4 linked regions of the Caenorhabditis elegans genome follow. The protein of the gene in region 1 purifies or fractionates together with the protein of each later gene. This does not show direct contact. Each region holds a gene or a part of one and is shown in the gene's direction. Other genes may lie near its edges. The genes, in order: app-1, agxt-1, Y26E6A.3 and dnpp-1.

Region 1 (7,601 bases):
AAGTCGATCTACCAGGTGTACTTCTTTCCAAAATTAGTTCCAGAAATAGAAATAAAAAGCGAACATTTCCAGAATTACGTAAAAGTTAATGCGAAATAGCGAAATATTGACCAAATTTAAATTTCTATCTCAATACAAGATTTGGTTCAAAAATCGGTTGAGCTAAATTTGATAGAAAATTGTTTGAAAAAGCACCGAGGCACAAAAAATTCAATTTTTTAAAGTTTTCTTACCTGTACATGCCTTAACGATGCAATGAATGATGCTGAAATTACAGCTCTTGCATATCTTCTACAATCCCGTAGATCTCCAGAACTTAAAGCTGAAGAATACATTCACTAGTAGTTCGAATTTTATATAGTATGCCTTTCGAATACTCCGTGAAATTCCCAGTGAACTGAACCATTAACCAATTTGACGTTTTTTTCTTTCGTTGGTTTTCTCTCCAAGACACCACAATTGTTAGTCATTTCTATCAAAATTTATGCTCGGATTTGCCGAAGATTCAAAAAATGACGACGAATAGACCAAAAATCAAAGTTGCATCTGTTATAAACCGAAAATATTTGGTGAGTTGGGATAAAAACATAGTTGTATTCAATAAGTTAAAAACAAATATTCCAGGCATTTAGAAAACTTGGAGAAGGTGGATGTGGAGTCATTTACGAAGTTGCGATGGTGAAGTGCCCAGGGAGAAGATTTGCGTGCAAGGTAATAATAGATTTTGACATTCTTTTAAATTACTACTTTCAGGCTGAAACTACCGTATTTGATGAGGATCCAACACTGCCAATGGAACACAAAATAATTTCAAAACTCAATGAAAAGAATTCTATCCACTGTGTGGAACTTATTGATAAAGGACAAAGCGACAACTATCAATTCATTGTTATGACACTTTTAGGACCATCACTTGATGCAATTCGAGCGACTCTTCCTACCAATAAATTCTCGACTTTTTCCACTTTAGTCATGGGAATTCAAGCATTGGATTCGATTAAAGAAATCCATGATATTGGATTTGTGCACCGAGACGTGAAGCCGGCGAACTTTGCGATAGGAGCACTTGGAACACCGAAACAACGACTTGTTCATGTTCTAGATTTCGGAATTTCTCGTCAATATTTGGTGAAAGATGGGGAGAATGGAGGATTGAGAATACGGAAACCAAGGAGAATTGTTCCATTTCGAGGTACTCTTAGATATTGTTCAGTGGCTGCTCAAGAAAGAAAAGAACAAGGAAGACATGATGATTTGTGGTCCTTGTTTTATATGATTGTCGAATTTGTGAAGGGATCACTGCCATGGTGAGTGGTGTTTTCATTTTTGAAGCTTCTGTAAAAATCTGGAAAAAAGTTTGAAGTAATATGAGCCCCACCGATAAAAATACAGTCCTAGTGTGTGCCTTTAAAGTGGCGTTTCGTGTTAAAAAAATCTTTAATCATTTTTTTTCAGGACGGGAATAATGGAAGAAGAGAAGGTGATTGTTATGAAAGAAGATGTCACGGAGCTATTCAATGGCCTTGAGTCCGAATGTGCAATGTTTGCTCAACACCTGTCAGTTCTTCGTTATCAAACGAATCCAGATTATGCACTTCTTCGAGATCTTCTCATGAATATTTTTGTTCGACGAAATTTCAATGCTCAAATGAAAGTTGATTGGGAGAAAGGTGGACGATATGAAAGCCATTTTGAGAAGAAAACTTCAACTTTGTAAGTTTTTAAATATTTTGAATATTATTAAGATAATTTGAATATGTTCAGGCCAGTTGTTATCGAGAAAGACATGACTGAAGTGGATCTGTCAAAGTTGCTGAATGTTCCGCAAAATGAGAGAAATATAACAATGGAAGAAATTATAGCTGCTGGTAAAACGACAGAGGAAGAGGGACTGAATACTGCTCAAGATGATACGATTGTTGAGGATGAAAATGGATTTTTGGTGAGATTTACGGCGAAAGTTGTTGTAGGTAGGCATGAGGTAGGCACGTAGATATGCAGATATGAGGTTGAGATCAGACCTATAGGCAGGCGCACGAGGGGTAGGCATGAGGAAGGCACAAAGTTAGGCAAGCAGAAAGTAGACAGGCAGGCATTAAGTTAGAACCAGGGAATGAATAATGAAGGCATGTATGAAGCCAGGCATAGGAAATGCAGTTTTGAGGTGCGCCTAGGCAGGTAGGTATGAGGTCAGAATAGGCATACGGGATCTGAGAATCAGGTAAGTGTGTGTTGCGTGTAGTTCTAATGCAAACGCGTAGGCAGGCATGGGGGAGCTCAATATTAATAATAAATCGTTATTAGGCAGGCATGCGGCAGGTAGATAGGCATGTAGGTAGGTGCCGTAGACAAGAGATATATTTGAAACATTCAGGGAAAACAAGAAGCCAAGCCGGCGACACCATCTGCTCGATCTGAAACCAGTAAGAAAGTGAAAAGGAGATATATTGCGAGAACACCATCGGCGCATAAGGTATAGAATACGTTATTCGACGTATTAAATTTTCCAATTTTCAGATTGAACAGATTGAAAAGAACTGGAAGAAGAAAGAGGAAGAAGCGAATAAAGAGAAGTTGCTGAAGAATGCACGGGCGGCACGAAGAGCCAAAGAAGATTTTATTGTTCCGGAGGATAATACGGTTCAAAAAAGAAAACTCGAGAGCACACAACTGTCGTCTGCAGTTTCCACGAAATCCACTAGAAGTATTGGAAAGAAGATTTTGCCGCCGAAATCATTTGAGCTTCATTGATAAATTTTATTTTTTAATTTTGTAGACACACAGACAGATGTAATCGTGCTAAAAATTACGATTTTGAAAAAAAACAATTTTTCTTTTTCTTAATTTTTTTGAATACGAAAGAATGAATTTCCAGACTGAAATTTTCATTATTCATTAATTTTCGCACGCGTAAATTTTTGGAGAGGAAATAAAAAACCGCGATGCGAGTTTGGGTTTTGCTGTTCACAGTTTGTTCAACAAATTTATTATGAGTATTTTTTAAAGGTTATTTTCTAAAATTCTAGACCTGAATTTCGAGCGAAACTCATTTTCAAATCTCCTCCTTTTTTGACCCATCAATAGAGCGCGCCTTCTCAGCTTTCGAGTCACCACCGATTAGAGGCCTGTGAGACCTCGTGTCATAAAAATTTCTGAAAAAAAGCGTGGATAATTCGTATCAGGACACGAATAAAGTTAATATTTTAAATGATCCACAGTGAAATTAACATTTTCATTGAAATTTTCGTCTTTTAATGATATTTCAAAACGTTTCCTTTGCGGTTTTCCAAGTTTCCACTTCTTGAGTCTAGAGATCTCGAGTCCGTAGATACTCTTCTCATTTTTTGGAACAGCGTTCGTTCTCGATTCGGCAGTTAATTTTTCATTTTAAAACATTTTTAGACTTCAAAAATAGTTATTTTTCAGTTTTCTTCTCAAAAAATTTCCACATCCTCTGTTGTTTTCATTCAATAGAATTCAGAGATGATTTTTGATTTCTGTATGTATAAAACCATTTGTGATTGCGTATTAAAACGATTGATCGACAATTTCGTCGTTGGTTTTATTCGTTATCAGCTCTAAAATTCGAGAAAAATGTGCAGACGATTAGACGCTTGGTTTTTAAATTTCTCTTTACAAGTTTAGCTTTAATTTTCTTTTTTTTTCAGATCGGGCAGAATTGGAGTGATGACAGCATTGGAAAAACTCGCAAAATTGAGATCCTTGTTCCATTCGGAACGGGTTCTCGCGCTCACTTCCAGCAAGCCGATGGTCGCGTATCTTCTCCCAAGCACTGACGCTCATCATGTTGGTTTTTAGGCTTCAAATAATCTTCTAAATGTTAATTTTCAGAGCGAATATCTAGCCGATTACGATTTTCGAGTGAAATTCCTGTCTGGTTTCAGTGGTTCCAATGCCTACGTTGTTGTTACCGATAGAGAAGCTCTCCTTTGGACTGATGGCCGATATTTCACTCAAGCCGGGAATCAGCTTGATTCCAACAGCTGGAAATTGATGAAACAAGGACAGCCCGATTCGATTACTGTCGTTGATTGGCTTGTGAGAGAGCTCGAGCGTGGATCCGTTATTGGATTTGATCCAACTCTGTCGACGTTCGACGCTGGTTCCAAGACATTTAAACGTCTGAAGGCAGCAGGTCTTCAACCAGTCTCGATTCCTGGAAATCTAGTCGACGAGTTCTGGACTGATCGGCCAAGACTCGCTGGTGAGCCAGTAAGTTGATAGATCTATACTGCGGGATTTAATGTTCCACTTTTCAGGTAGTCGTGCTCGATGTTGAAGACACTGGTCTTACAACTTCAAAAAAAGTCGAGAATCTTCGGGAGAAGCTGAAACAAAAAAAGTGCGACGCAGCTGTATTTACTCTTCTTGATGATGTTATGTGGCTTCTGAACATTAGAGGAAGTGATATCCCGTACAATCCTCTTGCATATTCATATCTCTTCGTGGCAATGCGCGAGATTCACGTATTTATCGACAATGAGAAACTCGATGAGAAATCTCGAGCCCATTTCCACAAATCGAATGTATCGATTCATCCATACGGAGAAGTCTATTCATGGATATCCAATTGGCTCAAGGCAAAAGAAGCGAGCAAAGAGCCTCACATGGTTTATCTCACACCAGAAACTAATTACGCTATTGGAAGCATTATTGGCGAAGAGAACTCGATGGTTGACACTTCCCTGGTTCAGGTAATTCCATGAATTTCTTGAAATTTTTGAAATTTAATCTTTTTCAGACCGCCAAGGCCACCAAAAACGATCATGAAATGCAAGGAATGAGAAACAGTCATGTAAGAATGGCTACAGCATCGTTTAGGATATAATTTAATTCTTTCTAGCTTCGTGATAGTGCTGCTCTTGTTGAGTTCCTTTGCTGGCTCGAAAAGGAGTTGCTCTCTGGAAAAAGATACACTGAAATCGAGTTAGCTGATAAGATAGACCATTTGAGAAGTCTTCAAGACAAATATGTTACTTTGAGGTTCGTTTGTTAAATATTTAAAACTACATTTAATTTATATTTATTTTCAGTTTTGATACCATATCAGCTGTCGGAGATCACGCAGCACTTCCCCATTACAAGCCTCTCGGAGAAAGTGGCAATCGTAAGGCTGCAGCCAATCAGGTGTTCCTCCTCGATTCTGGAGCTCATTATGGAGATGGAACAACCGATGTGACGAGAACTGTGTGGTACACGAACCCACCGAAAGAGTTCATTCTGCACAATACTCTTGTATTGAAGGGACACATTAATTTGGCACGGGCCAAGTTCCCTGATGGTATCTATGGTTCTCGTTTGGACACGCTGACTCGTGATGCTTTATGGAAGCTTGGTCTCGATTTTGAACATGGTACTGGACACGGTGTTGGACACTACCTTAACGTACACGAAGGACCGAGTAAGACGAAAACAGTAAATGTAACTGTTTGAATATTTATTTTCAGTCGGAATCGGTCATCGTAGTGTTCCAACCGGTGGAGAGCTTCATGCCAGCCAAGTGCTTACCATTGAGCCAGGATTCTATGCCAAGGAGAAGTACGGAATTCGAATTGAAAACTGTTACGAAACAGTTGAAGCTGTTGTCATGTCTAAAGCTCAGAACTTCTTGACATTCAAGGTATACCCAGATCCCAGGAACTTTATAAACTTATTAATTTCAGTCTCTCACTTTGGTGCCTATTCAAACTTCGATCGTCGACAAGTCTCTTCTGATTGAAGAGGAAATCAATTGGCTCAATCAATACCACGCTCGGGTTCTGAAGGAAGTTGGTGAACATCTTCAGAAACGCGGAAAAACGGATGAGCTGAAATGGCTCGCAGAAGCCTGTAAACCAATCTAAATATCTGGAACAATTACAACATGTTTTATATTATTTTAACCGGTCAACGTCTTGTTGAGCAAATTTGTGCTCAATTAACTATTTTTTATCACAATTTCTGGATCCTGGTGTAAAACTTATTCTCCCCGAATGATTCATCCGTATTCCCCTTTTTTTCTCCTGTCGTTCTTTCTCGCTTTTCCGTAGATTTCCTGTACTAATACTTGAGAATGAATCTTTTTCTTTTGTTAGTTGGAAAATTGAAACATAAATAACAATGCCGGCTAGCAGGTCTTAACAACTGTAAGCTAGAATGTTTGGTTGACGACATTTTGCTGTCGGATTTTGACATCGGTGCAGAGATTCAAGCCAAAGTGCTTACAAGTGAGCCAGGATTGGATGTAAGGTTAATAACGAATTTGAATTGAAAACTGTTGCGAAACTGATGAAGCTGTTGTGAACTGCATTCTCATAGATCCAAGATTCTCGCTTTTAACTTCTCCTCGATTTCCTGTATTTACAAATTCTTGAAAATGAATAATTTTTATTTGTTGATTCGTAAACTGAAATATTTAAAAAAAAGAAACAAAAATACGGACCAACGGGTCTTAACAAGTAAACTAGAATACGGTTTGATGACACAGATGAAAAATAATTAAAGCTTGAATATCAAGCACTAGTTGGCCGGCTTCATATAGCTGCCGCTCGCGGGAAATTTGAATTTTTGCGGAGATCTGTCCACGAATGGCTTCTTATTCTTATCGGCGATCCATGACGCTGGAATTGTGGAGATGCCCGGGGATGATTCCGCATTTTCAAGCCATTGATCTGTGCAGCATAGTCCCATGCAATCCCTATCCTCACAGAACAGCTTCGACATTGAGCTTTCTTTTGGTGGCAGCAACTGAAAATAGGATTTCGTTTTTGAAAAAGAGTAATATAAATTTATACCACAGCTGTTTCGATGTTACTCCAATCCTTTGGCTGGCCATTAAAAAAGCTGTTCTGGTAGATCTTCCGTTTTCCTGTATCAAATGATTTGATGTATGCACGACCCGTTTTCCTGATGTGCGCGATTCTCCGGGCAACATCTTCTTCGGTCTGAAAAAACAAGATACACTGGATGTGTATGAGAAAAATTGCTCACCTTGGCACCTTCAAATCGAACTTCAAGGATTGGAGTTGGGACATTCGCGAACTCCTGCGGCAATTTTCTCACAGTCAGATAATTCGTCTTCAGAGCTCTCATACTTCCTGTGTCAATCTCGATATACAAATCGAGTCCGGGTTGACTTTTGTGAGGACGAATACCACAGACATGACGAGCTCTTCGGAACATTGTACCCTCTTCCTGAAACTCCTGGAGGCACAAAATAACATTGACTCTCCAAAAATATGGCTTCATCGGCTTCCCATCTTCTTGTTTTCCTGATCTTTTGGGGTCTTTGTCGGTTCCAAACGTATCTCTTTGAAGATGTGATAGTTTGTTGTACCAAGCCAAGAATCGAGCGGAAAAATCTTTCAGCATTTGCTCCTGATCGTGTTGTTTAGGGATCACATACGCATGAAGATTTTTGTTGCTGCAGAGGACTTTTCCGATTTCCATCTCTCCCTTTTCGTAATCGAAAACATTCACATGAGGTATCAATGCAGTCAGCGCATTTGAAATCTCTTTGGGCACGATGGAGGCTACATGCTCACAGTTCGATGGTGTTTTGAAATCCTCGTCGAGATTGGAGATTGTTGCGCTCAGGAAAT
Region 2 (8,491 bases), on another chromosome or scaffold:
AAATTTGATTGCATCCTAACAGAAGTCGGTCCACTTGTTGAACAGTTGTTCTCTGAAAAACAAAGAAAATATAAATTTTCAGATGGAAAGTTTTACCCCTGGATTTTCTTTCACATTTTCATACAAAATCGGCAGAATTTTTGATAGATTGTGAGATATTTTAGCAATGACATCGGAAGATCCTCCATGAAGAAGTTCGATGAACGGTGGTATTAGATCTGGTTTATCAGGGAACATGGTTAAAACCTCATGGTAGGAAGAAGCAATGCTCACTCGAACTTCTTCATCTGAAAATTGTTATTTTTAATTTTATTGCAAAAAATAAAAAGACAGCATATTCATTATATTAATTGGGTAATGACACTCCGACCACACGGACAAATAACTCACCATGATCTGTACAGAACATCTCTAAAAATGGAAGTAATCGATCCACGTGTTTTTTGAACATAGTCAGCATACATGGATAATTGAAACAACACGTCTTCTTCAATACGTTACGAATATTCTTTTGTGGGCCTTCACATAGTTCGTCTGATATTTGCACCATTTTGCAGTATGTATTCAGAACCCATGATTTGTCAAGTTGATCGAGAAGCTCATTGAGCTCCCATGACCATTTTCCAAAGTTGTTCGATATCACTGCGAGACCTTCATTCTTTTTCTCAAGCGCCTCTTCGGTTAACTTTTTGATAACAGAGAAGAGTGTGTGCTTTCGTGCATCTGAATTTGAATTTGAATTATAATTGAAATGATTATTTTCTGACAAAACCTCTTGTGAACAAGGAGAATGCATCAGTCAAACTATTCATTGCAGCTTCTCTCACATTCATTTCTTCATCATTTAATAAATGTACATATGAAGGCAAAAGACAGGACACAACATCGTGCGAGTTTCTGAAAGTTAAATGATTTTACACTAAAACAAAAAACCCCAACAACTTACTTAAGAGCATTTGCAATGACAAAAAGTCGTTGAGCAACTGCTACTCTCACATTTGAATTGGCATCTTTGCACAAGGTGGTAACAATTGGGCACAGTTCTTTTCTTATTCTTAAAATGTTTTAATTCGTTCATTGCCTAGTTACATTTTTTGTAAGTTAAATATATTTTAGAAAGCCGGTAGGTTAGGACTATTATGAGAGCGAAATGAAACAATTTCAAATAACAAACTCACTCGTTCGGAGGTAAAAACAATGCCAACTTGTGAATAATCTTAGTGGCAATAATTCGTCTTTGTACCCTCTGAACAGGTTCTGCTTGTGTTTGAATTACAGGAACCACCTGAAAATTAAATGAAGGGGATATCTAATATTTATGCTTACATATAATTTGATTGAGCTTAGTGACAATTTGTCTGCAACTTCAACAATTGTTTCTAACCAAGCAGCGGCACTCACTGAAAAATATGAATTTAAAATTTACACATAATTTATTTAGTGCGCAAGTTTTTTTTAGTTGTTAATGTTATAATTTTTATAGTTTTGTCAATGTCTAAAATGGTAATTCAAAAGAGTATTAGGTAAAAAGGTAAAGGTATTATTAAAAACAAATAAATTGTTAGTTGAGAATACATACAATGATGCATTTGATTGTTGATGCTACTGCCAGCTTTTATAACAATTTTTTCCTTTTCCTGAGTGTCTGGAAATGGTTAGGATAGAGGATAGAAGGGGAAAGGTGGAAAAACATGTACATACGATACTTGGAAAATACTTACGATGCTCTTTTTGATTTTGAATATTTTGAAGAATATTCTCGAGTAGAAGATCAACGATTCCCCTAGAAAGCTTGTTATTTTAAAGTAGTGGAATGTTTTAATACTCACTGAAATTTTTTCACGAGGTCCTCATTTTGAATAATTGACTTATAGACAACTGCAGCTTCACAGTGAAGGTCTAGGTTTGATTTTTCAATTTTCAAACATTTTTGAATTGCTGGTAGCATTTTTAGAAGGCACTTTTCTCCGTCGGAGGTGTCCAGAATGTCAGGAAATGTGCGAATTGATGTGAGCTTTTGAATTTCAGTTCCGTCTCTGAAAATTTTATGGTATGAACGATTTCCTTTTTTACAAAATGTCGAAAAATCAATTTTGATTTTTTAATTAATAAATCTTACTCTAAATTGATTAGAGCCTGATCCAATGGTGATCTTAGCAATTCCTCAAGATCTGGATCTTCTGCCATTTTGAATAGTTTTTCGAAATCCAACTTCATTACAGGAGGTTCTTTTTCTTCTGTCTCGTCATCTTCAATTTGATCATGCTGGAAAACAAAACGAATTCTATAAAATCTTTTCTGAAGAAATTTTGGTGTGAAAGCCGTTTTAAGTAGGCAACTACTGCAAAAATTTAGTATATTTTCCAATGCCTAATTTCATTACTCATTACTCATTTTCACAATCAAAAACTTAAATTTCTAAATCTCGTTTTTTATCATTACAATTATGCCTTACTTTAATATCAACTATAGATTCTCCATCCATTTCTGTGGCAGCGACCATTGAAATGTTGGAAAATGTGATTAGAATATCTGAAATTTTTCGAAAATCAATTTACAATAAGATGAGACAAAGAGCAACACGAGAGAGAGATAAGATAAACGAAAAAAGAAAAGAGTCAACAGTTTGAACGTCCCGCCTTTTTTTCGCATGATCCATCAAGAGGTAGGGGCAGCTCTTTAGATGCATTTTTGTTCGGCAAACAAATGAAACACATTTTCAAAATGGTTTGCGTTGGGCAAGAAAGTTTGAAAGTGTGGTTAGATATGACGAGTGATCTAGAATGATGCAGAAACAACATGATTCTTCAATAATACAAACTCTTTTTGCTTTGGAATGTAGAGGAGGTGGAGGAGAAGCAGGAAGAGGCAGCTGTGACTCCCGGGCGATGAGCAACTATCTCTATCCTCTCGAAACATTCAAAATGATTGGTGAGACGCAGACATCAAGTCGGTGTGTAAAGATATTCGGCCAAGAGGATCGGGATCGAAGGGCACGCTTGTGATCCAGTGTGAGAAGTTAAAAGCGAGGGAGGAGATGAAGAAATGAAGACGAAAAAGCTCAAAGGATGAAGCTGAAGAAAAAAAAGATAGAGAAAGATAGTGTTCACAGCAAAAACAGACACTGAAACCGGAGAGCTTCAAAGATCACGAGACATCACAAATTTGAGTTGACCTGTAATTGAATCCAACTCGATTTCGAAAAACCTGAGCAGTTTTCTTATTTTTATCAATAAAATGTGCAATTGTTCAAAACATTTCAAAATGTGCAATAAACTCGTGTGATCTGGAAAGTGTTCTTCACGAATCAGTACTTTCCGAATTCTCAAGGTATCTCCAGGCATACAAGTGAATTGGCTGAAAAACTCATTTATAGATTTGGGTAAAGAAAAATGTGAGGAGATTTCAGACGAAGCTAGGCGAAATTCAAGGAATAAGATGTAGAAGCTAAATTTGAAAATGTTCAGAAGTTAATATCTCAAAGCTTTATTATTTTTCCAAAGTTAACACAAACCAATGAACTTTTAAATATTAATTTCTAAATTTATTCATCGTATCAATTTCTGTAGACGTGAAATGCTATTTTCATGGAAATGAAACTAGAAAAAAAATTTATTCCGAAGTCTAAACTTCTCTGGATCTGCTCGTTGTTCGAGGTAAAGTTCAAATTAAACTCTCTTGAAGTTGGTAATCTTTCTCGATTTGTATTGTTTTGAGTAAGATAAGTTGGTAGTCCTTAAATTTTCTAGTTTCATTATTTGGTAGACAATTTTGAAAAATGTTTTAATGTTTTTTTGTAGCCATCTGACTAATTCCACGTCATTGATTAGACCACTTTAGTTCCCATTATAGCTTATTGTTCGCACTTTATTAAAATTTTAACTGATTTTTAAACTGTGTATTTAAAAAATTCCACTAGTTTTTTTCGGATGATCTCCTAAATCTTGAAACGTTATTTTCTAGATTAACGGAAATGTGCCAATGAACTATCCATAAAAATTATGCTCAAACCAAATTGCAAAAAAGTGTTGTTTTCCACTCAATTTCCATAAACTATAAAATAACCACGAGGTTTTCCCCAGTGCACTTTCAAGTGTTTCTTTGAACTCTTCTCTAAAAATTGACCGATCTCTGGGTGTCTTCTCGTTATCATTTATACCATCGACTGGTCATTTATACATTGTGATAAAATAGCCCCTCAGTCAGTCAGTCAGTCAGTGAAAATGAAAGAACAATGTACTTTGAGGAGTCACAGAGATATTTGCCGCCTGCAGGACAACCTCCTCAAGTTTTCTTCTCTACCTCAATATTCTTCCTCAATTGATTTAATTTCGAAGATATGATTTCAACGCGATTTCTAAGACCTTCAGTCTCGATTTTTGGATTTGGAATTAAGGTGAGTTCAATTGGTTCAAAAATAATAGGTTTATTGAGTACACAAATTGGAACCGCCTCTGAGAGTTTATTGTCATCATACATCAACATATGTGTTATCATTGATGAAACTGTTCATTGATACAATCTTTTTAGTTACTGCAATTATTTTATATTTATATGCCATTGTTCATTAAAAAAAGTTTTTGAAGGTTTTTTCCTTAAAAAAAATTATCTAACAGCATGAAAATTATGTCTTTCGAGTTCAAACTCTAAAATCATGTACTTGATTTTTACAGTATTTGGTGAAAAAAAAACCCACTTTGATTTATGGAAAATTTCTAACCATCTAGTATGCCGTTTGGCATTCGACCCTTCAACCCTTCTCCCCTAGACATCAAACCAATTCTTGACCATTTGGACACACCGTTCAATCTCCTCTTGACCAATTGGTTTCTCTGTGTCTCTACTCCATTCTACATGCAAATAGAGCGCATTTCATATTAGTTCCATGTCAGTACTGCGAAATGGAAAACATTTTAGTTAAATTTAAGATCAGTTTTTCGTTAATGTTTTGTTTTTAATAACATTTGTTTTGAGAACCACGTGTTGAACGACCTTTTAGTTATTATATTCTCAAATTATCACTTCCAAATCGATTACCATGTTCTTCGAGTATTTATGTATTTTACTTTTTTTCCAGTCATCAATGTCGTCTCGTGCTCCACCAAAAGCTCTTCTGCAAGATATGGTTGTCCCACCGCGGCAACTTTTTGGACCAGGACCATCGAACATGGCTGATTCGATTGCTGAGACCCAATCTCGCAATTTGTTAGGACACTTGCATCCAGAATTTGTTCAGGTATCTTTTTATGTTTTGTTGGAAAAATAGTAAATCGAAAACTAATTCATAAAGCTTTAATTTCAGATTATGGCAGATGTTCGTCTGGGTCTTCAGTATGTCTTCAAAACCGACAATAAGTATACGTTTGCTGTCAGTGGAACTGGTTAGTGTGCATATATCAACTTTCTCAATATCAAATCTAATATTCAGGTCATTCTGGAATGGAATGCGCGATGGTTAATCTTCTCGAGCCCGGGGACAAATTCCTTGTAGTAGAAATTGGACTTTGGGGACAAAGAGCTGCTGATTTGGCTAATAGGTTTTTAAAATCAATATTCTTGTTACAAATTAAAAATTGATAGAATGGGAATCGAAGTTAAGAAGATTACTGCTCCGCAGGGGCAAGCAGTTCCAGTTGAGGATATCAGAAAGGCAATTGCTGATTACAAACCAAATTTGGTTTTTGTCTGTCAGGGAGATAGTTCAACGGGAGTTGCTCAACCATTGGAAACAATTGGAGATGCTTGCAGAGAGCATGGTGCTCTGTTCCTTGTTGATACGGTTTGTGGTTTTTTTTAACTTTCTCGATCCTCACCATTTATTTATAAATCTTACAATGTTTCAAAAATTAACGGTTTTGTTTCTGAAAAGTTTAAGGTGTTTTTTAATGTAGTAAAATTGAAATTTGCCGAACGAGTCTCAAAATTGAAAATAGATGTTTAATGATCAAAGTTTTCATTTTCAGGTGGCGTCCCTCGGTGGAACTCCATTTGCAGCAGATGATCTGAAAGTTGATTGTGTCTATTCGGCAACCCAGAAAGTTCTCAACGCTCCACCAGGACTTGCGCCTATCTCATTCTCCGATCGAGCCATGTAAGAATAAGAAACAAAACACATATAGTTGCATTCCTCTTCATTTTTAGGGAAAAAATCCGGAACCGAAAACAACGCGTCGCCTCGTTCTACTTTGATGCCATCGAATTGGGCAACTATTGGGGTTGTGATGGAGAATTGAAAAGGTTGGAAAAAACTATGAAATGATGAAATTTATTGAAAAATTTCAGATATCACCACACTGCTCCAATCTCCACTGTATATGCTCTTCGTGCAGCACTTTCTGCAATTGCAAAAGAAGGAATTGATGAATCAATCCAAAGACATAAAGATAATGCTCAAGTGTTGTATGCTACTCTGAAAAAGCATGGATTGGAACCATTTGTAGTGGATGAGAAATTGAGATTGCCATGTTTGACTACTGTGAAAGTACCGGAGGGTGTTGACTGGAAAGATGTTGCTGGAAAAATGATGACAAATGGAACGGAGGTAAATTCGAAAATCCACCAATTTGAAGTTTGAAAACCGTAACTTGTTTTAATTTTAGATTGCTGGAGGACTTGGTGCAACTGTTGGTAAAATCTGGAGAATCGGAACGTTTGGAATTAACTCGAATTCGACAAAAATCGAAAATGTTGTGGAACTTTTGTCGAAATCAATTGGAGAGAAAAGGTCAAAAATTTAATTGATCCGTTTCCTTATCAAATTATTTATATTTTCAGCAAGTAGATCCATCAGTCGTAGATCCATCAATTTGTGATTTCATGCTAATTTATGATTTATTGTAATTTCGTATGCGTTTTGTATGAACATTTTAAATTTATTTAATGTTTTTATGGGTTTTAATTTGAATGAACAAAAAACAAGAATTTCTATTTACATGATAAAAATAGAAGAAGCGAAGGAAAAACAGTCGATGACCGGGGGAATAATCAATTACTGAAAGACCATCAAGAAAGAAGAACAGAAAAATTTCAACTAATCTAAAAGAAATGTAAAGCAAATGAAAGAGGAGCTAACAAATGAAAAAGTGAATGGCGGAATGAAATGAAACAATTTAAGAAATGAATGAGACTACTCGTAATGAATTCGGGTTGACAAGGAAATGATCACCCACTATTTACCTCAAATGTCCCGTGCCTGATGAAAATGAATTTTTGAGTCAAAAATTAAAACAATTAGAAATTAAGCCTTATCGGAAGGCTTTAATTGAATTTCCGAATCTGTTGGTGGACTCGGTTTGAGTGTAGTTTTTGGTGGAGAGGCAAGCAATAACCTTTCGATATTCAGAGCTGGAAGTTCACTGACCATTGTGCATATTATGGCAAAGAAATATGTAATGAGAAGTTGAACAAAACAATGAATGAAGAGTGGAATTTGAGTATTGAAATATATTGGGAAGGGAACGAGCATGTAAGTGAGTACCACTGGAATCATGTGGAACAAGTAGGCCTGAAAATATTTTATTTTTATAAAGCCAATATTTTGCCTTTTCAATTTTCGAAGCACATATTTTCATTCATTTGTCAAAGTGGTACTTGTAATTTGAAAGATTTCAGGTTGAATAAACTGTAAAATAATTTGGTTTTTCTAATAACCAAGTATTTCTCTTCATCAAAACAAAACATTAAAACACTTCCTATTCTATCAAAATAAAATAATTAAACGTAAACATTGTAGTGATACAAGGAAGTAAGGTTCTATGAAAGATTTAATTTGAAGTTTAAGAATGAGAGTAATCCTATTTTAACATTAGAAATTTGAAAACTAACCGAGAAACTCAAGTTGGCCAATGGTAAGAAGAAATTGGAGGAGAGGAAGACATTGACAGGTCCACCAATTCCAGTATGACAGATGTAGATAAGGAATGCAATACCAATTGAGAAAATGTCACGATGGAGTGCTCCATAGAGCAAGTGATATGCTCTCCAGGCAATTGAATCCCATCCTTGAAGAGCTGGGTAGAGACCGTACAAACCGAAAAGGATTCCCACAAGTGCCACTGACCACATTGAAACTGGAATTAAGAAGGCTTAGAATTTTTTTAAAATAAAATAATTAGTTTTTAATTTAAAAAAATATATTGGTTCATGAAAGATGAACATTTGTTTTAACAGCTAAAAATAAATTCAAACTCACTGATATATTTGTTGCTTTGCTGTGGTTTCACAGGAATTCGTTGATATCTAGCCAATTGATAACCAAGAAGAATTCCAATAAGATATGGTCCAATGCGATATTGTGGTTTGATGTAGAGTTCAAGATGGTGTTGAATAAAATTTGGATTGAACATTTCCGGTTGCTTCCAAAGGAATTGGGTTGGCGGGAAGTTGTTGCGAACGATGGATTCTACATTCAAACCGGCTGAGAACATAATTACGACGAAGCACAAAATCTGAAGAAGTGTTTATGAAAAGTTGTAGATACAAACATTTGGTT
Region 3 (6,406 bases), on another chromosome or scaffold:
TACATTATTAGCTGTTTTTGTGTGGCTGGTCTTAGCTTTTCTGGCGTGTAAGAAAGTTCCAGTTTAGTCTTAAACAATACACATAGTACATACACATATATCCCTCTACATTTATTTTAAAAATTACTGAGAGTGAACTAGAATGAAACACGTAGAAATCCCACTTACATGCAAATATATGTACTTCCAATAAACTTTTCTTTACTATTAACGAGCGTTCAATATGTTCTAACATTCAATTTTTCAGAAAAAGAACATGGCCGACCTAGACATCCTGGAATTGTTTCGGGCCGTTCCATTCTTCCCCGATGCAAAAGATCGTGTCAACAATGAAATGAACCGTATGAAGGAGGACATGGAGATCCTTCTCAATACATGGACCGTTGAAGAAATCCGTTCAATATTCAACGGGCCCACACGTTATAGGTGCCTAATTGAGCAACTTCAAGGTGAAACTCTAACGGAAAAATGCAGCAGTGCGTTGAGAGTTGGTGGATTCACATTTCTCACTGATGCTATTCATCTCTGCGACTTTACGATGGCAGAGCATCTTAGGCTTACAAAAATGAATGTGTTCTCTCATCTGATCTCTCGTGACAACTTCTTCCGGCCGAAAAGTAAAAATGTGGAAACCAAGCACATCGAGCAAGATGATGTGAAATTGTTCGATCTCTTAAAACTTCCTCCGGAGATGATAGAGCAGATCATGCAACGAGTAAGTTTTCAATTCTGGGAAAATACTTCTAAAAATAAAAAAATCTGAATCTCTCCTTTTCAAAAAAACAACGTTAAACACTTTTTGAGCAGATGCACTTCCAACCGGATGATTCCTAAGATTAAAAAAAATTTTCAGTCGGCTTACAAAGACGCTCAAAGTCTAGCAATCACGTGCAGTGCTGCCAATAACATTTACCGACAGAATAGTCTGAAAATGGTGCTCCCAGATGTCATTTTGATTCTTGACTTCTCCAGTGGCGAGATGAATGTCCGATGGATATTGGAGAAAAATCAACAAGAAAATGAAAGCGATCCAGACTCTGAAAAATGCTTGAATCAATCCGAAGTCAACGAGAAGAAGAAAACCCAGCTGCTGCGTAACACAACTATTTTAAAAATTGTCACCACTGATGATTTCGAACCGGAATACTGTGAAGCTGTGCACAACTTCGTTGGATCCAGAACATTTAAAAGAATCATTGTCAAGGGTTTCGAGTACACGGAGAATTTGAAAATGATGGTGGAAATGTTTGACAAAGAAGTTGTGGAGATTGAAGTGAACGCACTAACTGACGACTTCATTCCGTTCCCAGATGTGAGTTGTACTTAGAATTTGAGAAAATTTGAATTTTTCGTGTTATGGTTTAAAGAGCGTTCCAAAAAAGTAGGATCATGCAATAAGTTAATAAAAATTCCAATATCCCCTAAAAGTTTTAAATGCAATAACTGAGACGCAATTCAATTTTAAAAGTATAGATTTTTTTTGGCCGACTTCCAATTTTTTTGACCATAATTGCAAACTTTCAAGTTTTTAAAAATAATTTTTTACAATTACATCAAGGCAATTTAGTACTTCATGAGCTGATTTAAATAATTTCCCTACTGAAAATACTCTACATTTTAATTTAAAAATAAATTTAAAATAAACAAGTGTTATGTAGAAGCAATACAAATTTTCAGATCAAAACCATATCCATCCGCGACACTCTCAACAGGGATCACGGAGAACGGCTCTTTTCTGCGAAGCATTTTGTCAACATCAATTGTGCTCTCAACAATATCGACACATTCCGAAAAGCTCTTCGTGATTGGGATAATGGACACCGAGAAGTTGGTAGATGGGTAATTCTGAAACAATTCACCATCTTCCAAACACCCTTTGGTAGACGTCATCGGCCGAAGACTTCCTTCCGAAAGGGGTATTTGGAGTTTATCAGTGAGCTCAACTCATCACAAATGCCACATGGAGAAATAACCGAATACGTTTTTCACGAGACTAATTAACATGATTCTTAGCGAAAATGAAACCAACTAATCTACTTTTATGAGAAAATTATTTATTTCTTACATTCCCTAAAATTTTCTATATAACAATTTTTCTATAGTTTTTTATAACAGTTTTTTGTAATATTTGTTGTCACTAATTCTTGTTCATCTCAAAAACTATTAGACTCCAACCCGGTTTTTTTTTCACACAGCTCATTCCACTTCTAAGTTATTGTTTTGTTTTGTCAAATCTCCAATTCCCAAGCAAATCTATTATCCAGTCATTCATGTTGATGAAACAATAAACTTTGGTACACTTTTTGTAGATTGGTTTTCGTCATGCATTTTCAGTAGTAAAAAAATCTAAAGCGTGATACATTTACCGCAAAGTAACATTTATGGGTTAATACTGTGGTATAACAAAAATGGCCTCAAACAACCAAATATGTACCACCTATAGTATGCCAACCGGCTTAACATGTGCCTAAATCGATTAAAAAACAAGAAGTAAAAATAGAAATATGCCTAATAAGTTTATAATTAGAACAAATTAATTTCAGCGTTCTGCGAGTGCTGATTTCAGATGAATTTGATTTTTTCTTTTGAAATTTTATATATTCGTTTTGAGTTTTGTTTTACTATATAATGTCGAGATTTGATTTTTCTAGGAAATTGATAAAAATATTTAGGTTCAAATTAAAGTATATAAAAAAGCAAGATCTAAAAAAACTCGCAGAAAACGCGCTCTTTTAATTTTTGTCTTATTACTAAAATTTTCAGCTGAATTAGTTTCCATTTAATATTTGAAACCTTTTAAAATACTTCTAAAAGTTGAAAATTATTAAGAAAAACAAAAATTTCACGAAAAACAAAACAAAACATTGATGCCCTACTTTCTCTGGCCTTATACGTGGCAAGGCTTGCAGCTCGCTTTGGCTGGCAGGACACGTGTAACTTTTGCACTCTCATTTTTTTCACAGTTTTGTAAACAAAATCTCTTTTTAGTTTCTTTTTTCTCTCTTTTAACCGTTTTTTTTTGCTATTCCTCTTTTAATCTGCCTTTTGCGCATTTACACTGTACTTAACTTTTTGCCGTTCGTTCGCTCTTCTTCCCATGCATAACACTTGCCATTCCTCCTTTTTTCCCACACAAACAACAACTATCGATTTCTGGTATTCCAATCTTCTGTTGTTTTTTTTTGTTTTCTCTCTTACCAGTCTCTTCATTCTGGTTAGCATCTATCTCAAACTGTTATAAACCCTATAAAAAGTGCGCGCGCGTACCTTTCTCTTTTACCACTGACTGTTTCACATTTTGAATCAAATAACAATTGAACGTAGTTGCAGCGATTGGTGATGTTGAGAGCGCCAGCTGCCGAATCGAACAAGGATGTGATTTTGGAGGTGTTGAGAAGATTCGCAACATCTGGAAAGAAAGTAAGTTTTTAAAAAATGTGTTTCACATTTTTTTAAAATGAAAACATTAACGATATATATATATTTTTTTTTTTCAGGTGTTCGAGCTAGCTTCTGGAACTGGACAGCATATGGAACATTTTGCACGGGCTCTGCCGGATGTCACTTTTCAACCGACTGAAGTTAATGGTCGATACCTCCATTCCATCGTTTCTTATTTGGATCAAAGTCAGGTTAGTCAGCAGTTAGTTGCCCTGCCCAAATTTCCACTTTTCACAATAGCAAAAAAGAGATAATACTTGAATTAAAATGACTGCATTTTTCCACACTCCTGTTGAAAAACCTTTAAAAAATTTTAATTGCCAGCAATTGACAGAATGTTTTAACAAAAAACCACACTCCAGACTGTTGGGGTGAACAATAATTCTAAACTAATTTTTGATTTCTCTTTTTTTACAACTTTTTATGAAAACTCAACTTTATGTTTTTGTAACCATAAAGTAATATTTTTCAGTTTCCAAACGTCCGCATCCCCCTCTTCATCGACGTTGCAAAACCATTCAATCAATGGGCTCTTCCTGCGGATTTCGGACCTCATATGGTAAATTGTTTCCAGACTATATTGGAAAATAACTTCGTTTTTTTTCAGGTCGACATTGTTCTCAATATCAACATGATTCACATTTGCTCCACGGCTGCAGTTAAAGGCCTTTTTCAAGTAAGTTTTTTTTTTTGATAAATGTCAAAGGTGAAATACGAATTTCAAAAATAGTAGGATAAATTTCAATGGGACTGAATTTTTTCTTCAAGTTGCAAATAATTTTGAAATAAAAACAAATTTTATCACATCAAATTCAAACACTTCTGAACTAATTTAACCTTTTTTACAGTCTGCCGACTTGCTTCTTCACGAGACGAACGGAATCCTCATGACTTATGGACCATATGCAGAGGATGGACACATTTCACCACAATCAAACATCGCATTTCATACAAATCTGAAAGCTGAAGATCCGGAACATGGCCTCAAGGATATCAAATATCTGGAGAGGGTAAGGAGATTTTTTTTTAAAGTTAATCTCGGTTTTATTACCATGAAACTGAACGCTTAGTCAGAATTTTTTTCGAGAATTTAAATATAAATTCATAGTTTATAACATATTGAATTTTCAGCTTGCAAACAGTTCGAACCTCCGTCTTGCCGAAAAGATTACAGTTCCGAAGAATAATTTCATTTTGATCTTTTCCCGTTAAACGCTTGTACTTTTTATTTTCAATCTGTTCTCCTGTACTTGTAATACTTGTAATACGCTAGATTTTCAGCGATGCATGGCCTTGATAACTCCTTTTAACTGCAAATAATATTTGCAATATTACGCTCTTTAATATAATATAAAGCATGTTTGATTTCAATATTCTATGATATATGATGATTTTAAAGCATTTTCAAGTGTAATTAATTTCTCCATTTTCAGGTTGAAGTCGATATTAACAGTTGTCTTTTTGAAATGGATTCCAAATTGCTATTTAAAAATTTTATTCAAATATTTTACCTATTGGAAAATAATTACTCTTTTCAAGAAACCATTTTCGAACTTCCTCAAGAAACGTTTCAAGTATTGAAGCAGGTGTTTTGCCACCTTCATGTTATGTTTCTTTGACGCAGTTATTTCTGGTCTAGTGAGCAGAGCCGATTCTTGGTGTTAATGTGAAGTCATTCTATAACAGTGGAACTAGACATTTCAAAAAGAAGTGCGCGGATGTCAAATTAAAAAAAAAACTTAAAAAAAAAAATTTAAAAAAACTCTGGAATTAAGAAAAGATTGACTATATGGGTGATTGTACGGATATTTTAATGCTTTAAGAATATTTGATTGGCATTACAGAAATAGATTTTGTTCGTTCTGCTGAATTTAAAATTGCAGCTGAACCCAGCAGCATCTAAGCACAATTACTAATTTTGCTTGTTTGTATGTTTCGATTTGCTATCACCAAATAGTTTGCGCGTGTGATTTTTATTTTTTTATTTTTAAGCGTTTCATTATTTTTTTTTAAAGTTTTATCATCTATCATTTTGTGACAAGTAAAACTTTGTCTGGTTTATCTGATCTGACCAGAAATCGCACAAACGGGTAATAATCCTTTTAGCTTAAAAGTATGAACATTTCAATGTCGCTCGAGTAAGATCAAAAAATCAATCTAAGAAAAAATAGCGCTCAACAATAAAAAGTATTTTTATATTTATTTACTTCATTTTATTTACGATCAGCTTTTCTTTTAAATTTGAATTTCATTTATTTGTGTGCAAGCTGCTAAAAAAGTTTCTTGATGCATTAAAAAACAATTGATTTCAATATTCATATTACAAGTGCGTGGAAACTTCTGGTTTTTTTTTCAGTTTGTGTGATTTGTAACAAGTATACAACAAATGTTTATAGGCAATTTTCCAGTTAAAACATCTGCTAGGAGATCAACAAAAAGTTCAACAGCCGGAAAATTGGAATTCTTGGTTTCCCAGCGTGATTTGTGTCGAATATTGAAGCTACATTAATGAGCACCTTCGATATTGGAGATGGTAAGTAGTTTTTCTGTGTATTTCTGAATTGATGTTCCAGCTAATTTGTGAAGTTTCGGCAGCTCAAAAACTAAATCCTTCTTTTAAATGTTGTAGCCTACGGGTTTTTTACCGTCTTCGACAAAATTGAGCTATGTCTCATCGGATTCAGAATCATACATCATACATGAATCATACATGAATAAACATCGGTACATAAATACGAATTTTGTGCAAAACCCCAGGCGTTCTGTTTTACACTTATTAGATGTCAAAGTGAAAAGTTCAACCAACCATAAACTTTGGAAAGTGTAAAATTTAAAAAAAAAACGTGTCTATACCCCATCAACTGTATATGAAAGATTCTTACTGATAAAATATCTCATCGTGAAAGGTGAGCTTTCCCTTTTTGTTTGGTTTTTTTTTAGTAGAAAAGTGGTAGCAATTTTGATA
Region 4 (6,773 bases), on another chromosome or scaffold:
ATTGGCAAAACTTTTTCACATGTCAGTTGCTCTTTTTGCACCCGGATGGATTTATGAAAAGTTTCCTGAGGAAAATCAAATTTGCAAAGGAATTCAGTAAGGTTTTTTGAAAATAAAATTGAAAAATCAGAAAAAAAAGACTACAGTACCCCGATAAAAATATAAATTTATAAAAAACATAATTTTTGAAATTTAATTTATTTCCAACTAGAAAATTCTACATTAGGATTTTTTTCAGAAAAATTCCACAATTTAAGTTTTATTGAAATTTTAATTTAATTCCAGCTTCTGGTCCAAACTTCTTCCACACATCCGAACTCGTCCTCTAACTTCTATAAACTTTGGCACCAACTTCTGTACTGGAATGGATCAAAATTGGCACTACCGCCTGAGCACAGTGCAGCTTCAGCCTCAAATTTTAAGCTCCTTCTGCCACCAAGTAATTGACTCTACAGGACTCACTCTTTTTGGCAGAAATCGAAAATTTCTGTAAGTTATGAACATACAAAAATTTACTCATTATAATTTTTTCCAGACTATTCACTTTCGATTCTGTCAACTACAGTACCCTGACCATAACTTGCACTACTTCCAATTCAATTGACCTGCTTCTGAATAGATCTGAAATTATGGACAAAACCGGAGATTCCACGTGGCATATTGACAAGCCAGGAAATTTGGAATCCATCAGCATCTTGACATCAAGCAACGACGAAACTGTGATCGAAAACTTTTCCATTGATTCTAATTAAATAATTCTAATTTCATAAAAGTCAATAAAACAAATTTTAATGCACAATTTTAGATCAATTTCTGGTATATATGTACGTATATAGAATAGATTAAGCATTGTACAAGAATTAAAAGACTAGACATTCTAGCACACGGATGATGCACATATAAAATCGGGAAAAGGTGGCGAAAGTGAAATTGGAAGGGCGAGTTGTGGATAATCAGCGACAGAATAAGCATTCCAGATGAATTATTACTTATCCTGCGTTGCAAAGAATGGTTTTGTATCCCGATTGAGCAGTGTGTGACATACTTTGCACACATTGGCTGGTCGATGATTTGGTCCACTTGGAACGGTGTCTTTCAGGCAGTTCATGCAGAATATCCGACCACAATGAAGACAGCTAAAAGATTTGAAAAATAAAAGTGACTGAAATATTCCATGAAAAAGTAAAATAGTGCTATCTCTTATTTTTCGCACTTTTTTAAAAATTTTTCCTTATAAAAATCTGCTATTTCTGGAAAACTATGCGTGATTTTTTATTTTTCGAAGCCTTTTTTTAAAAATATTTTAGGTCGTTTTAAGAAAGGGTACCGAACGCTTGATTCATAATCACTATATATTTTTTTTCTTTTTAAAATCTTCTGTTTGACATATTTTAATTGGAAAAGTGTAAAATTTATTTTTGAAAATGAAGAAAATAATTTTCTTGTAATTTTTTATCAGAAATTCAAACTTCCATTTTCAAAAACTTACTGAGGTTTAACTTTAACTCTAGCAAACGATGTATCACAATTTGAGCATTGATCTACATCATCATCCCATTGCCATCGTACTTCTTGTTCCGACTGTCGAATCTTCTCCAATTGAATTTGGAGGCTTTGAGATAATTTCACAAAATCTCTCTGCACAACTTCAGATGTGTCGAGTTCTTGTTGAAGACTTGTGCACCGTTGCTTGTAGTTCTGTGCCGTCTGTTCAACAGCGGCTCTCTCATTTTGAACCTGCTGAACCTGCGTCTCAAGTTCACCGACAGTTGTTTGAAGATCTCTAATTTGTCTGATATTCGAATCTTGATCTGCAATTGTTTCCGATGCAACAACCATTCGAGTGTTGATCTTTCCTAATTCCGACTGCAATCTGCTGATCTCTGCAGTAAATGTCACTTCCTGATCTTCTCTGTGCGCTCTTTCTTCTAGAATCTGAGCTCGCAGGACGGTGATCTCATCCTGCAGCTGCTGCTCGGTGTGCTCTTTTGCAGCTCGAGTTTCTATCAATTCTTCCCTATTCTTGAGACAAATAAATTGTAATTGATCAAGATCAGCTGGCATATCGATTTTCTCGGACCGAAGTTCTTGTGCTGATTTTCGTGTGGACCCGAGAAGCTTTTTGTACTTTTTTCCTAATGTAACAAAGTCATCGTCGGCTTGTTGCAGTTTGTCACGAGCCAAATTCAATTGATCAGTGAATACTTCTATCGATTTGTCGTGCTGAAATTAAGCTTTTTTAAAAGTTATTCTTTTTATTTATTTAAAATACCTTCGCACTGAGCTCGTCCAGCCGCTGCTCCGACTTGGCATTTGCCTTTGCCGCCTCGTTAACCTGATTCAAACAATTAGTCGATAATTCGTTCATTTTCTTTTCCAATTCTTTTCGATAGTCTCGTTCATTGCTCAAATCCAATTGATATCTTTCGTTCAACTCCATTGCCGCCTTCACTTCTTCCTTTAACTTTCGTTCGTTTTCCTGCAAAACAAACAAAAATCATTTGCATATTTGCCGTGTTCCCATGATTCTCACCTGTAATGCAGTCAAATTCACTTCATAATTCTGGCACATTTCGCATTGAAGCGTTGGATTCGGTGAGACTTGCGAAATCTTTTTGGACGGTATTGGCGGCTCCTGAAATTTAAGGGTCTTTGAATTATCGATTAAAATGCAACACTCTTACCTCTGCATTCACTCCGGCAGACACTTCTTCGCTAGCCGACGGTTCTGTCATTTTTCTAGAAAATTCTTGATTTATTCGAAAAATATATGAGTCATTTGATTAATTAAATAAAAAAGGTCTCATCACAATGTTGGCAAGGACTAGGTTGAAAACCTAGGCCATTTGGTGACACATTTAAAGAGCATTAAACATAATAATCGAGCAGTTTTAGTATTAATTTCATTAAACGACTTCCAAGAGAAAAGTAAATGTTTTCTGGAGTGAAATAAACATATTTCATTCTGTTGAGTTATGAAAATGTTATTATATGTTTAATTTATTTTTTATTCATAAAAATTTAAAAATTTGTAGTAAAAATCATTCTATTTATAAACAATATATCGCTCTGAAAAATCAAGATGAACAAAATTTTATATATAAAATTTATAATTATATTCAAAGTTCAGAACATTTCCAGCTATTGTAGTTTTCTTTCCAGGACCCAAAAAATGATTTAAGCGTTGCGCCTTGAATACAGTACTACTCTACGTTAAAAATTGTTCTTTTCTTCTTTTCGATTTCTAAAATTTTCCGACGTTTTTTTCCTGTCAATTTTTTTTTCACTAACTTTCCTCAAATAATTCCTGATCTTTTCGCTTTTCTCATGTCTTCTCCATTATCTTTTCCTTCATTTTTGATTCTTTCTATTAGAAACCTTGATAACTATCACTGATAACGCATTTTTGATAATCAGCACCACATATTCTTCTCTCGAACTTTCGCCCAGTAGAAACTAACCGTTTATCGCTTATAGAAAATCATTCCAGATTCAAATTTTATGCAACATTTTGTCTTATCTTTTTTCATTTTCACTCCGATGGTAGTAAAATATTGGGCTCAATTCATTTTGAGTTTGAATCATGACAAAGAAGTCGTTTCGAAAAAATCGTATTTCCGAAAAATTGAAAGTAGTGTGCGGCTGCTATCCAAAACATGAAATTGAGCCCAATACCAGCTATCAACCCAAAAAGGTTTTCACTATTCTTTCTTTGTCTTTTCATAAATAAGTTTATTTAATTTAGATGGCCGCTGCTCTGAAACCAAGTGCTCCGGAGATCCGCAAAGCTGCACAAGAGTTCATCAACTATCTGAATAAAGCAGTTACTCCATTTCATGGTAATATTTATTATTTATTTTTATATTCAAAAGTATATCAATTGCAGCCACCCAAGAAGTGAAGGATCGCCTTCTACAAGCCGGTTTCACAGAGCTTCCAGAATCGGGTCACTGGGACATTCAGCCAACCAGCAAATACTTTGTCACCAAGAACCGCTCTGCAATTCTTGCATTCGCTGTTGGAGGATCTTACAAGCCAGGGAGTGGATTCTCGATTGTTGTGGGACACACTGACAGTCCATGCCTCCGTGTCAAACCAATTTCCCACCAAAAGTCTGATAAATTCCTTCAAGTTGGTGTATCAACTTACGGAGGTGGAATCTGGAGAACCTGGTTTGACCGTGACTTGTCGGTGGCTGGATTGGTTATTGTCAAGAATGGAGAGAAACTTCAACACAAGCTGATCGACGTGAAAAAGCCAGTTCTTTTCATTCCAAATTTGGCGATTCATTTGGAGACCGACAGGTATTTGAAATTTGTCACTATCGTCCTAATTTTGCAATTTATTTCTCAGAACAACATTCAAACCAAACACGGAAACTGAGCTCCGCCCGATTCTGGAAACCTTCGCTGCTGCTGGAATCAATGCACCACAGAAACCCGAGTCTACTGGTTTTGCCGATCCACGAAACATTACCAACAATCATCATCCCCAATTCCTCGGATTAATCGCGAAGGAAGCTGGATGTCAGCCAGAAGACATCGTTGATTTGGATCTCTACCTTTACGATACAAACAAGGCTGCGATTGTTGGAATGGAGGATGAATTCATTTCTGGAGCTCGTCTTGATAACCAAGTTGGAACATACACTGCGATAAGTGGACTTCTCGAGTCTCTAACTGGAGAGTCATTCAAGAATGACCCACAAATTCGTATTGCCGCATGCTTCGATAACGAGGAAGTAGGATCGGATTCCGCGATGGGAGCATCTTCTTCTTTCACGGAGTTCGTTCTCCGCCGTCTTTCTGCTGGAGGCTCAACAACCGCTTTCGAAGAAGCAATCGGAAAGAGCATGCTCATCTCTGCAGATCAAGCTCATGCCACGCATCCAAACTATTCGGCAAAACACGAAGAGAACCATCGTCCAGCATTCCATGGTGGAGTCGTCGTCAAAGTAAACGTCAATCAACGATATGCAACAACTTCAACCACACACGCTGCTCTCAAGCAAGTTGCATTCGAAGCTCAAGTTCCTCTTCAAGTTGTCGTCGTTCGCAATGATTCTCCTTGTGGATCGACGGTTGGACCGATTCTTGCCACAAAACTTGGCTTGCAGACTGTCGATGTAGGATGCCCACAGTTGGCTATGCACTCGATTCGGTAGGGATTTAACTTTTAAATCACATCATTTATTTTCTTGATTTCAGCGAGTTTGCCGACACTTCGAGCATCTACCAGGCCACCACTCTCTACTCTACATTCTACGAACGTCTGTCAACTGTCCTCTCCAACATGCAATAGGCAAATCAATGTTGATCCTTCCCAATCATAATTTCTACTATTTAATCGCGTCGTGATATCCAATCTTCAGTTTCTCTGTGAATATTAATTTCTATAATTTATTTGGTTTTCAAATAAATAAAGCAATGCATTTTTTAAAAGCTGAAATTTTATAGATAACAATTTAAACAAAAACAAATCTAATGCTTCGGATTAACAATTTCGATCTTCGAACTAATTGATGGTTCAATTCCAACGGCCTTCATCAAAAAGTAGAAAGTGGCTTCGGTGCTTTCCTTGATCACTTGTCCATTCCTAAATCCATGTCCTTCTCCATCGAAAAGCATCAGAGCAGTTGTAACTCCACTAGCACGGATCTTCTCATACATTGTGATAGATTGGCTCATCGGTACTACCGTATCCTCCCTTCCATGCAAGAATGCAATAGGAGTTCTAATTTTATCAATATGATAAATGGGACTTCTTTCTTCGTAAATGCTCGCTTGCTCAGGATATTTTCCGATAAGCATCTCATTGTAACATCTTTCCAGTTTATGAGTATCTTCATCTAAAGCCAATAGATCAGCAACTCCATACACAGAAACTGCTGCTTTTATGATATTTTTCGGTGAGATAAGACAGCTCAGAATCAGATACCTGAATAAAAATATTTATAAAACTTTAACAATGACTATAATATTAAATTCCTACCCTCCAGATGAACTTCCAGTGATCAGAACTTTTTCGGCATCCACTTTTCCTTGCTCAACAAGTGCTTTTGCTCCATTCAACATATCATCTCTATCAGCTACTCCACAATTTTTATAAAGCATTCTCCGGAATTCAGTTCCAAATCCAGTTGATCCTCGATAATTTACATCAAAAACAGCAATACCTCTCGACGTGAAGAACTGTTTTTTAAGATCCAAATTATTCTGAGCTGGAGCCGTCGGGCCACCATGTCCGAGAAGTAAAACTGGAGGAAGTGTTCCAGCTGGAGCAGAATATGAACAGTTTTTCGGTGGATAAAAATAACCAGAAACATCAACTCCATCCGATTTGAACACAAATTCTTCTGGTTCCGAAATCTCGAGAGCGTCGATTTCCGAAGAATCTCGGGATTCGCGATGAACTTTTAATGGGAAATTTTTGTTCGCGAGATCGATGGAAATAACGCTTGAAGCTCGTTTTGGTCCAGAAGCAATTGCGAAAAGATCAGAACCATTCTGGTCGAGTGAAAGATATCCAAATACAGTATAGCCTGGAGTTGGAATCTCTACAGTAACATCTCCCGATCGGACATACAAAATTCCGTCTGCGTTCATTACCTGAAATATTTAAATTTCATTAGGTCAATTTAAAAATTCGAATTTTTGTGTTTAGTTCAACTAATTATATTGAAAATTGTAAACTTAGGTTTAAAATATTTGAAGAATGTTTTGAATTTCCAATCTAAAATTCTCACCAAATATTTTTTATTCAGAACATAATTT

The links.
Region 2: the proteins of app-1 (region 1) and agxt-1 fractionate together in Caenorhabditis elegans (co-fractionation; one large-scale study listed by BioGRID). This does not show direct contact.
Region 3: the proteins of app-1 (region 1) and Y26E6A.3 fractionate together in Caenorhabditis elegans (co-fractionation; one large-scale study listed by BioGRID). This does not show direct contact.
Region 4: the proteins of app-1 (region 1) and dnpp-1 fractionate together in Caenorhabditis elegans (co-fractionation; one large-scale study listed by BioGRID). This does not show direct contact.

What each region holds. Positions count from the first base shown.
Region 1 is NC_003279.8:4,963,157-4,970,757, reverse strand, and holds app-1 (Xaa-Pro aminopeptidase app-1), read left to right. Parts: upstream 1-3,668; 5' UTR 3,669-3,687; coding exon 3,688-3,807; intron 3,808-3,852; coding exon 3,853-4,233; intron 4,234-4,280; coding exon 4,281-4,715; intron 4,716-4,762; coding exon 4,763-4,816; intron 4,817-4,864; coding exon 4,865-5,004; intron 5,005-5,054; coding exon 5,055-5,422; intron 5,423-5,468; coding exon 5,469-5,641; intron 5,642-5,684; coding exon 5,685-5,864; 3' UTR 5,865-6,091; downstream 6,092-7,601. Other genes in the region: W03G9.9 (uncharacterized protein), read right to left, coding at 234-335; W03G9.5 (Protein kinase domain-containing protein), read left to right, coding at 513-569, 625-711, 754-1,307, 1,456-1,713, 1,765-1,942, 2,375-2,473, 2,518-2,751; Protein pid-4, read right to left, coding at 6,520-6,747, 6,795-6,944, 6,991-7,601. UniProt on the Caenorhabditis elegans protein: Catalyzes the removal of a penultimate prolyl residue from the N-termini of peptides, such as Arg-Pro-Pro. Has activity towards the flp-9 neuropeptide KPSFVRF-amide.
Region 2 is NC_003280.10:8,841,984-8,850,474, forward strand, and holds agxt-1 (Alanine--glyoxylate aminotransferase), read left to right. Parts: upstream 1-3,614; 5' UTR 3,615-3,656; intron 3,657-4,246; 5' UTR 4,247-4,339; coding exon 4,340-4,396; intron 4,397-5,077; coding exon 5,078-5,236; intron 5,237-5,302; coding exon 5,303-5,381; intron 5,382-5,428; coding exon 5,429-5,537; intron 5,538-5,580; coding exon 5,581-5,779; intron 5,780-5,963; coding exon 5,964-6,091; intron 6,092-6,141; coding exon 6,142-6,237; intron 6,238-6,282; coding exon 6,283-6,541; intron 6,542-6,599; coding exon 6,600-6,724; intron 6,725-6,774; coding exon 6,775-6,781; 3' UTR 6,782-6,919; downstream 6,920-8,491. Other genes in the region: F46C5.6 (Serine/threonine-protein phosphatase 4 regulatory subunit 4), read right to left, coding at 1-52, 97-287, 391-723, 773-897, 947-1,054, 1,179-1,285, 1,327-1,400, 1,580-1,645 and 4 more; oac-46 (Acyltransferase 3 domain-containing protein), read right to left, coding at 7,238-7,504, 7,825-8,069, 8,192-8,447.
Region 3 is NC_003284.9:13,906,820-13,913,225, reverse strand, and holds Y26E6A.3 (Methyltransferase-like 26), read left to right. Parts: upstream 1-3,275; 5' UTR 3,276-3,339; coding exon 3,340-3,420; intron 3,421-3,497; coding exon 3,498-3,632; intron 3,633-3,913; coding exon 3,914-4,000; intron 4,001-4,048; coding exon 4,049-4,117; intron 4,118-4,289; coding exon 4,290-4,451; intron 4,452-4,572; coding exon 4,573-4,653; 3' UTR 4,654-4,855; downstream 4,856-6,406. Other genes in the region: Y26E6A.2 (F-box domain-containing protein), read left to right, coding at 257-715, 854-1,312, 1,678-2,001.
Region 4 is NC_003281.10:5,860,519-5,867,291, reverse strand, and holds dnpp-1 (Aspartyl aminopeptidase), read left to right. Parts: upstream 1-3,488; 5' UTR 3,489-3,583; coding exon 3,584-3,694; intron 3,695-3,745; coding exon 3,746-3,839; intron 3,840-3,886; coding exon 3,887-4,304; intron 4,305-4,353; coding exon 4,354-5,160; intron 5,161-5,207; coding exon 5,208-5,301; 3' UTR 5,302-5,450; downstream 5,451-6,773. Other genes in the region: eng-1 (mannosyl-glycoprotein endo-beta-N-acetylglucosaminidase), read left to right, coding at 1-96, 286-489, 536-752; rabn-5 (FYVE-type domain-containing protein), read right to left, coding at 986-1,136, 1,490-2,223, 2,273-2,479, 2,534-2,635, 2,685-2,735; dpf-4 (Peptidase S9 prolyl oligopeptidase catalytic domain-containing protein), read right to left, coding at 5,481-5,937, 5,992-6,608, 6,746-6,773. UniProt on the Caenorhabditis elegans protein: Aminopeptidase with specificity towards an acidic amino acid at the N-terminus. Plays a role in membrane trafficking and is specifically involved in the recycling and degradation of endocytic cargo.